2 linked regions of the Arabidopsis thaliana genome follow. The protein of the gene in region 2 interacts with the protein of the main gene of each other region in a pairwise test. Each region holds a gene or a part of one and is shown on either strand. Other genes may lie near its edges.

Region 1 (6,348 bases), on a different chromosome or scaffold from region 2:
ACATGCGTATTAGGAAGGACAGCGGGTGAGATTCACTTATCCCTGTCCGAAGAAACCCAACAACAACCTCCGAGTCCACCTCTAACTCTAATCGGGATACTTTACACTCCCAGGCCATGAATAACCCGTAGTATACACCCCATAACTCAGCAAGAGGTGTTGAGCATATCCCGATATTAATTGCAAACCCTCTGCGCCATTCCCCATTGCTCTCCTGTAAGACCCCTCCTGCCGCCGCTAATCCGGGATTGCCTCTTGACGCTCCGTCTGTATTCAGCGTGCACCAACCTTCACTTGGTCTACTCCATGAGATTAGTCTATCTTCTCTGCCCACTAATCTCCGAGACACTCCTACCACCGCATGTGCTTTAATAACTTCCCGAGCTAGGTCCATATAAAAAATGTTTGGTTTTCTTAGGTATCCATATATTATTTTTATGATTTTCTCGAATTGAACTCAGAAAAAATGAAAAAAAATTGAAACCAAATTTATTTAGCAGTACCGATGAAAACATTGCATATTTGGTTTTAAAGTTTTATCTTTGGGTTATAAACTTTTTTCTTTGGTTTGGTATAACATCAGTTTATTTCACACCTGATCATAAATTAAGTGCAATTAATTGGAAATTGGAATACCTATTTTTCTTTGTTCGACATTTAGAAGAAACTGAAGAACACTTACATTAACATTACAAATACAAACCCTACCACTCCCTTGTTTGGTTAGTACTAGCAGTTTACTTAAACAACAAGAAACAACTACAACATTTAAGGTTATATGGCTCATATCTCCTTAAGAGCCTTCAACACATCAAGCATGTTAGGGCGCTTAGCTGGCGTTTCAGCAAGACAAAGCATAGCTATCTGAAGCAGACGAAGCTGAGAGTTCTTCAAAGCCACAGATACGAGCAGTGGATCAATAACATCCACAGCTTTCCCTTGGTTGATCTTCTGAATCGCCCAACCAACCAAGTTCCCTCCTTCACTCTCCTTAAAGTCTGGACCGGTTGGCTCTTTCCCTGTGACAAGCTCCAATAGTATCACGCCAAAGCTATAGACATCTCCTTTGGTTGTGGCTCGGGCACTCTGACCATACTCCGGTGGGATATACCCGAAAGTCCCTGCTATGACTGTACTAACATGGGATTCACAGGCACTAATTAGTCTTGCTAGCCCAAAATCCGCCACCTTTGGTTCAAAATCACCATCTAACAGAATGTTGCTCGCTTTGATGTCCCTGTGTATAATGTGAGGGATGAAACCGTGATGTAGGAAAGCTAGACCTCTTGCAGCTCCAACTGCGATTTTGAGGCGTTTTGACCAGTCCAGAACCTCTAGCATCCCAGTTTGGTTCCTTAACCAGTGATCTAAGCTTCCATTTACCATATACTCATATACCAGAAGCTTCTCTTCACTGAAAGAGCAATATCCAAGCAAAGACACAAGATTCGGATGCTTCACTTTCCCTAGAGTCTCCATCTCTGCCATGAATTCTCGGTTTCCCTGCGTTTTGGCTTCACTTAGCTTCTTCACCGCTACTGTTTTCTCACCTGGTAAACAAGCTTTGTAAACCGTCCCAAAACCACCGTCTCCTATAATGTTCTTCTTAGAGAAATGATCTGTAGCCTCGACAATATCTCCTAAACGCACCTTCAGAAGCGGCTGCTCGAACATTGCTATATTGATGCTTAAAGGCTCCCTTGATCTGCTTCCACTTAAGAAATACAGGTTCTGATCAACAAACCCTTTCAATCTGCTTTCCTCCATTCGCTCTGGATCATCTCTTTGCTTCACTCTCTTTGTCATAGCCCATCTGCGCAGAGAGAAAACAAACACAAAAACGATGATCGTAAAGCCAAGCATGAGTCCTGCAATCCCCCAAGCACTCCTCAACTTAGTTCCCTCGATCTTGCAATCTGATCCAACCACTCTGCCACACAACTCTTTGTTCCCTGAAAGCAATGCCTTGGAAGGATCCTGACAAACACCATCACTCGGCACCTCTCCTCGCAGATTGTTCTTGGCTAGATTCAAGAACTCCAGATTGGGCAATCCACAGATCTTTGTTGGTATCTCTCCAGATAACAAGTTCTCAGAAACATCAAGGTACTCCAGCTGCGTAAGATTACCAAGTTCTGAAGGTATTTCCCCGGTGAACTTATTCTGCTCAATGTAGAGGCCGACAAGTTTTTCCATTGTAGACAGTTCTGATGAAAGCTCGCCACTTAGGTTGTTAAAGCTCAAGTCCATGTGTGTAAGCTCTTTCAAGTTCCCAAGAGAAGCAGGAACCGGTCCATCAAGCTTGTTCTTAGTCAAGTTTAGCTTCACCAAGCTACCTAACAAGCCAAAGCTTTCTGGAATATGGCCATTGAGCTGATTATTCGCCAAGTTTAATCCCTGCAACTTAAGAGAGTTGCCCATCTCCTTTGGAATAGATCCAGTCAGTGCATTTCCAGATAGATCCAGGATTGTGAGGTTGGTCAAACGAGAGAGTGAAGCTGGAATCTCTCCAGAGAGATGGTTGTTGCTCAGTGAAATCTCTACCAATACCAAACACTCGCCAAGTTCTTCTGGTATAGGGCCAGACAATCTATTGTAGGAGAGATCAAATATCCCATGGTGCTGAAGAAAGCTGAGATCAGGCATCTCAATCTGATGGAAATAAGCAGAGGGTTTTGATGGAATTGACCCGGAGAGATTGTTGTAAGAGAGAACCAGGCACTGAAGCTGAGCGAGAGCAGTGATTTTGTCTGGAATCTGTCCTTGAAGATTGTTGCTGCCTAGATCCAATGTAGTCAAAGAAGTACAATCACCGAGCTCAACTGGTATCTTCCCTTGAAACATGTTTGCATTCAGATTCAAGACAGACAAAGATGTGAGTTTTCCAATCTCTCTTGGGATTTCACCTGTTAACTGATTATCACTGAGAACCAACCGCTTCAGTGAAGCTGCATTACCAATCTCTGCAGGCAAATAACCTTCTAGACGATTATAAGAAGCTGTAAACTCCATCAAGTTCGTTGATTTCCAGAGACTCTTTGGGATTTCTCCTGTGAAGTTGTTGGAATCCAAGTCAAGTGCCATCAATGGAAGCTTCCAAAGATCCTCAGGAATAGAGCCATTGATCTGATTATTAGTAAGTAACAACTCTCCAAGAGAGGAACATCCATCAAAGACCTCCTCAATTGTTCCAGAAAGCAAATTCCCAGAGAGATCAATCGCCTCCAACGAACCTGAACCACAGAGCTCCCTAGGAATCGAACCACTTAACAAGTTGCTAGCTAGACTGAGATGTTTCAACATTGGACAATCCTCAATCTCATGAGGGATTTCACCTGAAAACCGATTGTTAGCTAACAGAAGTGAGTCCAGTACCTTCCATTTCCCCATCCATGAAGGCAATGAACCCGAAAGCTGATTCCTTTCAGCAGAAAACGTCAACAGAGGAATCTCTGAAAGCTCCAATGGCAAAGGTCCAGAGAGAGAATTGAAAGACAGCATCAGTGACTTGAGGCTTTTACAATTACCAAGCTCTGGTGGGATCAATCCAATAAGCTCTGCGGAGACAAGATTTAGTATACTCAGATTATGCAACTCTCCAAACGATTTGGGAATGGAACACTTGAGTGGATTATAAGAAAGGTCGAGCTTTGCTAAGTGTTTCAGTTTCGAAATCTCCTTTGGTAACGGTCCATTGAAGAAGCAAGAAGGTGCAGCAAAGTTCTTCAGCAACGAGATGTTACCAATCTCCGACGGAATTTGACCGGAAAATGAGTTGAGTCCCATGTAAAGATTGGAGAGGTTACTCAGTTTCCCGATTTCAGGAGGGATTTCGCCGGAGAGAGAGTTGTTGGAGACGTCAAGAGAAGACAGTGCAGGTAAGCTGATGAAGAACGATGGAGGAAGTGAACCGGAGAAGTGGTTGTCACTAAGGTCGAGGTAGAGAAGCTGAGGTAACTCACTGAGTAGCCTCGGGAGAAGTCCGGTGAGAGAATTTCCTGAGAGGTCAAGGGTTTGGAGATGTTTTAGATTCCAAATCTCAGGCGGAATCTTCCCGGAGAATTGATTTCCGGCAAGACAAAGCTCTCTAAGGTTCTTCAAACTCGAAATTTCCTTCGGAATCTGGCCTCTCAGAGACAAAGACGGTAAGGAGAGCGAGTTGACTCGTCCAAGCAGACACGTAACGCCAACCCAATCGCAGTGAGACGCGGAAGACGAAACGTTCCATGAAGAAAGGAGAGATGGGTTTTCTAGTGAGCGCTTGAAGGAGATGAGAGAAGTTGTTTCCGAGCTAAGATCAACAATGGCGGAACTCGAAAAAGAGAAGAAGAGAAACAGGAACAATGCGGTAAGAAACGCCATGTTCTTTTAGAGAAGGAGGAAGAAAACTCGGAGATTTAAAAGAGACGATTTTACAGAGAAAGTTTCAATTTTTACAAGAGCAGAGAAGAGAAATCACGCCATTAAAGAGAAAAAGGAAGGGTTTTTTTTTTAGGCGCGATAAAGATGAAGATGAAGATGAAGAAGAAGAAGAAGAGAGAGAGAAAGAGAAGCACGAAACTCACGTGACGTAATAAGACTTCGTAACGGCAATTTAATATTTCTTATTTTCAAGCTTTGTTTTGTTTGCGTGAATTTTTAAATATACATTTGTGATGATGAATAGTTATATATGGATGAAGGCATGGGTCAGAGTCTTGAGAGAGTACGGCTCGAATCTGCAGGAATCCCAACCACTGTGTACCAGATTAAAGCTGACGGGGTTTGTTTTCTAAATATTCGAAAGTTGTATGGTCAAATTGTAATTTTGAGTTTTTGTTTTGGCTTCTTTATTAAAAAGCTGGTCAAATTAATTGTGTATTTTCATTCATTTAATGTGATATCCGAAGATGCTTCAATCAAAACCAATTATAGATAGATTACAGCTAATCATTTTAGGGGGTGGTTTTATGTTTGGGAATTCTTGCATTTACTTTATAGCAGTAGATTTTGATTTATCTAATCTAACTACATATGTTCAGGCTTTTTTCATTGCGAACAAAAACAGAACAAAATTGTATAGTCATTATTCTTAATTTTTATAGTATACAAGTTAATTTTGCTTTCTTGTTTCGAAGATAATTAAGAAAGGGGGTTAAAATTAAGAAAACAGAGAATGTGGTGGTCCATTGTAAATTAAAAAAATGAGGAGAAAAAAGAGCAGAGTTCCCCCACATGTCTTCTTTCCCCTTTGGGAATGTTTAAGCTTTTTCCCTTTGGGATCTGTTTCCATTTTTCTAATCACATAAAGACTTTACCCCCATTAGATTATTAAACCTAATTAAGTGAATATAGTTGATTATAAGGTTAGTGGACCACTCTTTCTCATAAATTCATTATAGGTTGAACTATATAGAATTATTGATCCATGACATAATAATAAGTTAATAAAAAAAATGGTAATGTAATTGAAATTTAAAGTCATATAGACTAGCTCTGCAAATGAAGATTTCGAAGTAGCAAAGCCAAAAATGGGAATGCTTTTTGAAATTGGCGCATCACTGAAACCAAACCAGTTCGAGTCCAACTAATTGAGTGATAGCTTCATTTGTTTGTTTGTTTTTCGTTTTTTCTTTCTTTTGGATCCAAGAACTAATAAGAGTAAAAGTAGTATTAAGTTATTTGCAGAGGAAGAAAATGACTTGGACTTTGTGTGGTCAGATTTTTCTCATCAAGAGCTATAGAGAATCATTCATTATTACCTTTAGTTTTGTTTGACTTCTTCTAGTTCTTGGGTTGAAAATTATAAGAAAGTCTCAATATTTTCATCTATGTACTATAACAAATGGGTCCAACTAATAAAAATAGAAAGATTTTGCAAAATGACCCCATCATTATGTTGACAATTACAAATCATCATCCATAATTAATAACTTGAGCCTCTCCAAAGTCAAAAACAAACGTTACAAACCTAACAAGAAGACTCTCTGTGTTGTGGCTCATCCCCATTTTAAAAGTAAGAAATGATGGGAGACATATAGATTCTCCTCTTTCTTTCTCTGTACATACAAATAATATGTTTATGATCAAGCATTGATCTCGGAGTTGCATTGGTTCTCTCTGCTACAGCTTCTTCTTCCCCAGAACATACTTGAACAAGTTGTTGTTTTCCCAAGTCTTTGCCCTTCTTCTATCTTCTCCTGTTCAGTTGTTGTTCGAGAAGGAGAAGATTCGACGTGTTCTTCGCTATGTCTCTCTGTTCCATGTGTCTCAAAGTTTGGACATGTCCCTTCGTTGCAGGTGCACATTGGAATGTTTACTGAAGGGAATGGGCTGCATGTTACCGGACAGAATATATCAGATGAAACC
Region 2 (5,371 bases):
GACCTATGATTGTTTTTTTTCCTTACAAACTTATACCATTCCCATAGCCTTAGCATCTGCCATTGCAGTAACATTAACGATTTCCATGTGAAAAACAACCAATTTTAGCAATAATTTGGGTTGACTTTGTCGAGATCTTGGCTCAATTATATATATTCATACCATTACTATATAAGAACTGATGTCTTGTTTATTTGATGTCAGACGCCTGAGAGGTTTCAAAGTTTTTAAAAAAAAAAATTTTTAAAGAGAAGCGTGTGTGGCTTTAAATAAGGTCAACTAGGAAATGGGAATCATTCAACAAGAAGAAAAATGACAAAATGAAATATGAATGAAGAGGAGGAGGGGGTCGAGAAAGGTTGAGAGAAGCAGACCAAAGCTCTGCAAAACTCTGTTTTATTAATGACACATTGTGCTCTGTCTGTCAAAAGCAATGCCTTCTTTCTAGTGCATTTATTGCCCATTCCCAAACAAAATATACAAATAAGTGTAAGGATGCATGATATAGTTTAAAAAACTATTTGAAATGCTCACATTCTTTTTGAACTTCTCTTTTAAATTTGCAAAAAAAAATTATATTTTTTTGTTCCAAAAACTGCAAGCAAATGTTGATACGAACGAGCCAACTTGTCATTTTATGACCTTGTTTTATCTCTGCCAGTCAAATAACTCTTTCCGTTTTCGCTTTTTTGGCTTACTTCTTACTCTGTTGGTTTGCCTTTTGTTTGGCCTTACTTTCGTTTATAGGAATCGAATTTCAATGTTTTATCTTTCCTGTCGAAATTAAATTGGTCTTTCTAATAAATCTCATTTTTTTCTTTTTCAAAGATTTGTTTATTTAGTGAACAAATTCTTAAGAGAGTTTTTTTCCCCAAGCAATTGAAAATGAATCATGTAATGTTGATTTTTTTGGTGCAAGTTTATATAGTTTGCTAGAAATTTGGCCTTCATACGATATTTGAACATTTTGATATAAGATTTCTATCAGAAGACAGAAGCTACACGATTGATTCAGCCAGAGAAAACAAAAGTTGAACCGAACGATTAAACCCACACACAAAAAAAAACAAATAGAATAAGAATGAAGGAGAAGGAATATAAAAATGGGTACAAGAAAAAACATCATCGTCGCAATCATAAATGCAATTGAAGGCGCGTGGAAAAGAGACTCGTGTGCTTCTGATACTCCCACGTGAGGATGTGACAATTTAATATTACGAATTCAATAATTACCCAATCTTTCTTAATCTGTTAATTTATCTAAGCCAATCATTCATTCCTTTCACACCCGCCACGGTGTCAATCCAAATTTTTTAGAATCACCAAATTACACCTTTACCCTTATATTGTTTTTAATTTGTTTCCGAATTTTACCAACTGTTTCAATAAAACGTACCAACCCATTTCTGGTTGGATACAAGCGGGATTCATTCCTATATAACATTTTTAACGGTATCATTCAATCATACCGGTCCAATTTATTTCTATCATGCTATCTATATAACATTTTCTTACAAAATGTCTTTCTCTATACCTTTTCACATTCGAAACTTCAAAAGTTAATGTGTCAATTTAATTACGCATAACTCGAAAAATGCATTTTAAAACAATTAAAATTAAATTTATCTTAATTTGACGTTATAAAAAAATATTGAATATATTTCCGAGAAATAATAATAAGAGAAAGGACTATAAATACGTCTCTAGTGTGTAATGTGTAACACAGACGAGAGTCCTCAAATCCATTTTCTCTCTCTATCTCTCTTTATCCCTTCGTCTTCTTCCTCGGCGACACCACTTGCAGGCGCTAACTCGACGAAGAAGGAAAAGGTGAGAGAAACTCTCTGAAAACTGTACGGATTTAAACGTATATATGTGTGTATGTATACGAATCTGATGGTTTAGTTTTCTGGATTTTTCTCCATTCTCTGTTGATTCTACTTTTTTTGTTTGTTTGTTTGCTTTGTTTCTCTGTGTTTCACGCTGCACTACGCTCCAGCTTTCTCTTTGTTTTTCAGAACCAGATTGCTTTTTTCCATGAAACTCGATCGAGATTTCTTACTTTTTCCTATTTTTAGTCGCTTTATGATACGATTCATCTGTCGCCTGATTCGCTTCATCTCCTTGGTTTGATTTTAGATTTTCAATTTCTTCTGTTTTTGGTTACGTTTGTGTTCGCTGTGATGAAGTTTTCCCTGAAACTTGTTAAAAGCGATAATGCATTTCGCCGTCGTTTTCTTCGATTTTAGGTTTAAGCTTCTCTCTCTCTCTTTCACTGTACATTGCGCAACAGATTTTTGATTTTGGTCAAAGTTTTTCAAAATTTCTGCAGTAGATTCCTTATATTTCAAATCAGAGAAGCGAGTGATGTTAGGAGCCGCTTAAATCTGGATTTTCCTCTGTTTTATACTGTTCATTGATATGATGGATGCAAGACAAGTCGTGTGATAAGATACTCATAAAGTTTTTTTCGTTCTCTTTCCTCTGGTTTTTACAGATTTTCCGGTGTTAGTCACATCGACGCAGAAGGAACAGAGAAGAAGACGAGAGTCAGCTTCATTATCAACTTTAGTTCTTCGACGTCTACGCACATGAACCGACGGCGACTTTTGGTATCGGCGACACTGCTCTCGTATTTGCTCTACGGCATGGCTCTCGTCTCCGTTGAAGCCTCCGGTGGTACGAAATTCCTTAAATTAAACGTAGATTCACTTGTTTCTTAAACACTCTGTTATGCTTAGGTTAAACTTAGATTCCTTAACCAAATGTTATCTTCTGAGTGTTAATGGTGGAAAATCTCGTGGTTATAGGTGAAAAGCTTAGAGATAATCTGGATTTGACTAAAACGACGACGTCGTCACCGAGCATATCACATCGGAAAATGCTGCTTCTCTCTCCTGGTACTGGTAAGGGGATTTTGATTTTTTTAGACTCCAGTTTTACATTTTACCAAATCGGTGATTGATTCTCTATTGTGTTGATTTTGTTAAATTTGTCTTGGTTCCTCCATTTTCGTTAAGAACCTCGTGAAATGGTGAATTGTTGTTTTGTTTGTTTGTTTGCATCAGAACTTCTCTCTCTGTGGTCTCTCTGTGAATGCACAACTTCCTGATGCGTTTCGTCCTTTTTGTTTTCACAGCGTCGTCAGTCTTTTGCACGTCTGTGTTTTCTTGCCCCTGCTTTTGTTTCTTTGTTCGTTATACTTTTGTGGACCCACTTAAGAGCCTCATGACTTATCTTAAGAGTAAAAACAAATAACATCATCTTAAGATTGTGTGTTTTCAAACGTCGAATTTTACCTTCTGTTGAATCTCTTTCTTCTTATTATGTGTATGAATTAGTAATATATAAATAATTAAAATTAGGAAGATTTAGTTTTGATGACTTGTTGACTATTTACTGGAGAATGCATACATCTGTATAGCAATGCTTAAACAGCTCCCTACTTCATCCAGCTGTCAAATTAATACTAGTATTCTCTTTTTTTCATTTTATACTCCAATATTTTTTTGGTTATTCCATTAAATTTTTACTAGAAAATGTAGTTAGAGAGAACGAGTCTTTAGCATATCCTCTTAGCAATGTAGCTACTAATATACTGAAATTCCTCTGTTTTGATTGTGTGTGTGATTGTTTATATAAAGGAAAAACAGAAAGGAGTGTAGAGCCGGAGAGAATTGGAGAAAAGTGCAAGAGTACGGACATAGTGGTGAACCAAGCAGTAACGGAACCAATGCCTAACGGAATACCAGGCTACATGGTAGAGATAACGAACCAGTGTATGTCTGGATGCATAATTTCGAGGATCCACATCAACTGCGGTTGGTTCAGCTCAGCTAAGTTGATAAACCCAAGAGTCTTCAAGCGTATTCACTACGACGACTGTCTCGTCAACAACGGCAAGCCTTTGCCTTTTGGCTCCACTCTCTCTTTTCACTACGCCAACACTTTCCCTTACCATCTCTCTGTCGCCTTCGTGACATGTGCTTAGGTCGTGGCTTTTTCTTTTAGTTTTTTTTGTTTAGGATGAGATAGTAGAAAGAAACAGAGGGAAATTAAGAGGGTCTTACTAGATACGGAAATATGAGATTAGTCGTATTCATACCATACCATCCACTTTTGTTTTTTGGTTCTCTTGGGATGTGAAACAGTGATAGATAAATGAATATATATCCAAACTCTTTTTTCCCTCTCTGTTAAGCTTTTCTCAATACCTATTGTTGTAGCTGGAAATGGTCAAAACCCCCAGTCTCAGACCGTAGAACTGGCATATTGGGTCATGGAGCCCTTAAGACCACTAAGAGAAATAACCTCGGAAGCAATCTTTGAATTTGAACATGGCTAAGACTTTATCTATAGGAAAAAAAAGAAGAAGATGAAATCCTGTTGATTGAAGAACGAGAATTTCATTCGGACCAGTTGCTTTAAGAATTTCTTACGCTTGGTATCCACATTTCGTTTAGTACGATCCGATTGGTTTACTCATTTTTTAGATTAACCAATTATGGTTTGTTGTATGAGTTTGTACTTCCGTTTTCTCGTGTATCCCTTGGCTTGAATAATATACTGGATGATATCATACAAATTTCAAAATAAAAACAAAAAGAAATTTAATATATTGTTGCGCTTTACATATTAGTATAAATTATTATTTTCGACACTTGTTCAATTTTATAGAATTGAACAGTGGATTGAAGAAATGATGTGGAATGATTTGATTTGTGTTAAAATGACAAATCTTATGTTATTTAAACATGACAATGGATGAATGGATTAATAATTTGAAATAGACAATCAAATCTACTGTTATTGAAAACATTTTAAGTAGTGGATTTGAATTGATTGAGTGACTTTAGGTGAGATTTCTGGGAGTTTTTAAGTTAAAAATATAAATATCCAAATCTCATGGTTTTAAGTGAGATTTGAGAGAATATAAATATCAAAACTCATCAAACTTAAATCACTCTAAATTCATTACTATATTAGTATAGATACATGTTAAAAGATTTTCTCGTGTTATCGCGTGATGAAAATCTCTATCATTTTTTTTATCCTATGAAATTATGATATTTTAAAACCTACTATTACTTTGATCCAAAATTAGATTTTATACTTATATATTTTAATAAAAGTTGTTGAATAAAAAGTTTTTTTTTTAACTTTAATTTTTGATTTACCAATTTAACTAATACAAATATATTATGATAATATTTTATGTTCGGAAACTAATTTAGTAGAGTGAATTAGTCGTTTGACAACATAGATACTTAGATAGTAAAAGTTTAGTATAAAATCGTTGTTGGTGACCAAGAGAAATTTCATATTTAAAAAAATATTCACAATGTGCCCATCGTCATTTCGCTTGATTTTA

Evidence for each region.
Region 1: the proteins of TPD1 (region 2) and EMS1 interact in binary tests that used the Arabidopsis thaliana proteins (3 or more experiments, as listed by UniProt).

What each region holds. Positions count from the first base shown.
Region 1 is NC_003076.8:2,283,102-2,289,449, reverse strand, and holds EMS1 (Leucine-rich repeat transmembrane protein kinase), read right to left. Parts: upstream 4,621-6,348; 5' UTR 4,363-4,620; coding exon 784-4,362; 3' UTR 595-783; downstream 1-594. Other genes in the region: XBAT33 (uncharacterized protein), read right to left, coding at 6,066-6,348. UniProt on the Arabidopsis thaliana protein: Receptor with a serine/threonine-protein kinase activity required for the specification of the correct number of male archesporial initials and for the subsequent specification of tapetal and middle cell layer identities.
Region 2 is NC_003075.7:12,835,629-12,840,999, forward strand, and holds TPD1 (tapetum determinant 1), read left to right. Parts: upstream 1-1,724; 5' UTR 1,725-1,830; intron 1,831-2,497; 5' UTR 2,498-2,591; coding exon 2,592-2,679; intron 2,680-2,810; coding exon 2,811-2,906; intron 2,907-3,644; coding exon 3,645-3,991; 3' UTR 3,992-4,602; downstream 4,603-5,371. Other genes in the region: AT4G24973 (Plant self-incompatibility protein S1 family), read left to right, coding at 5,342-5,371.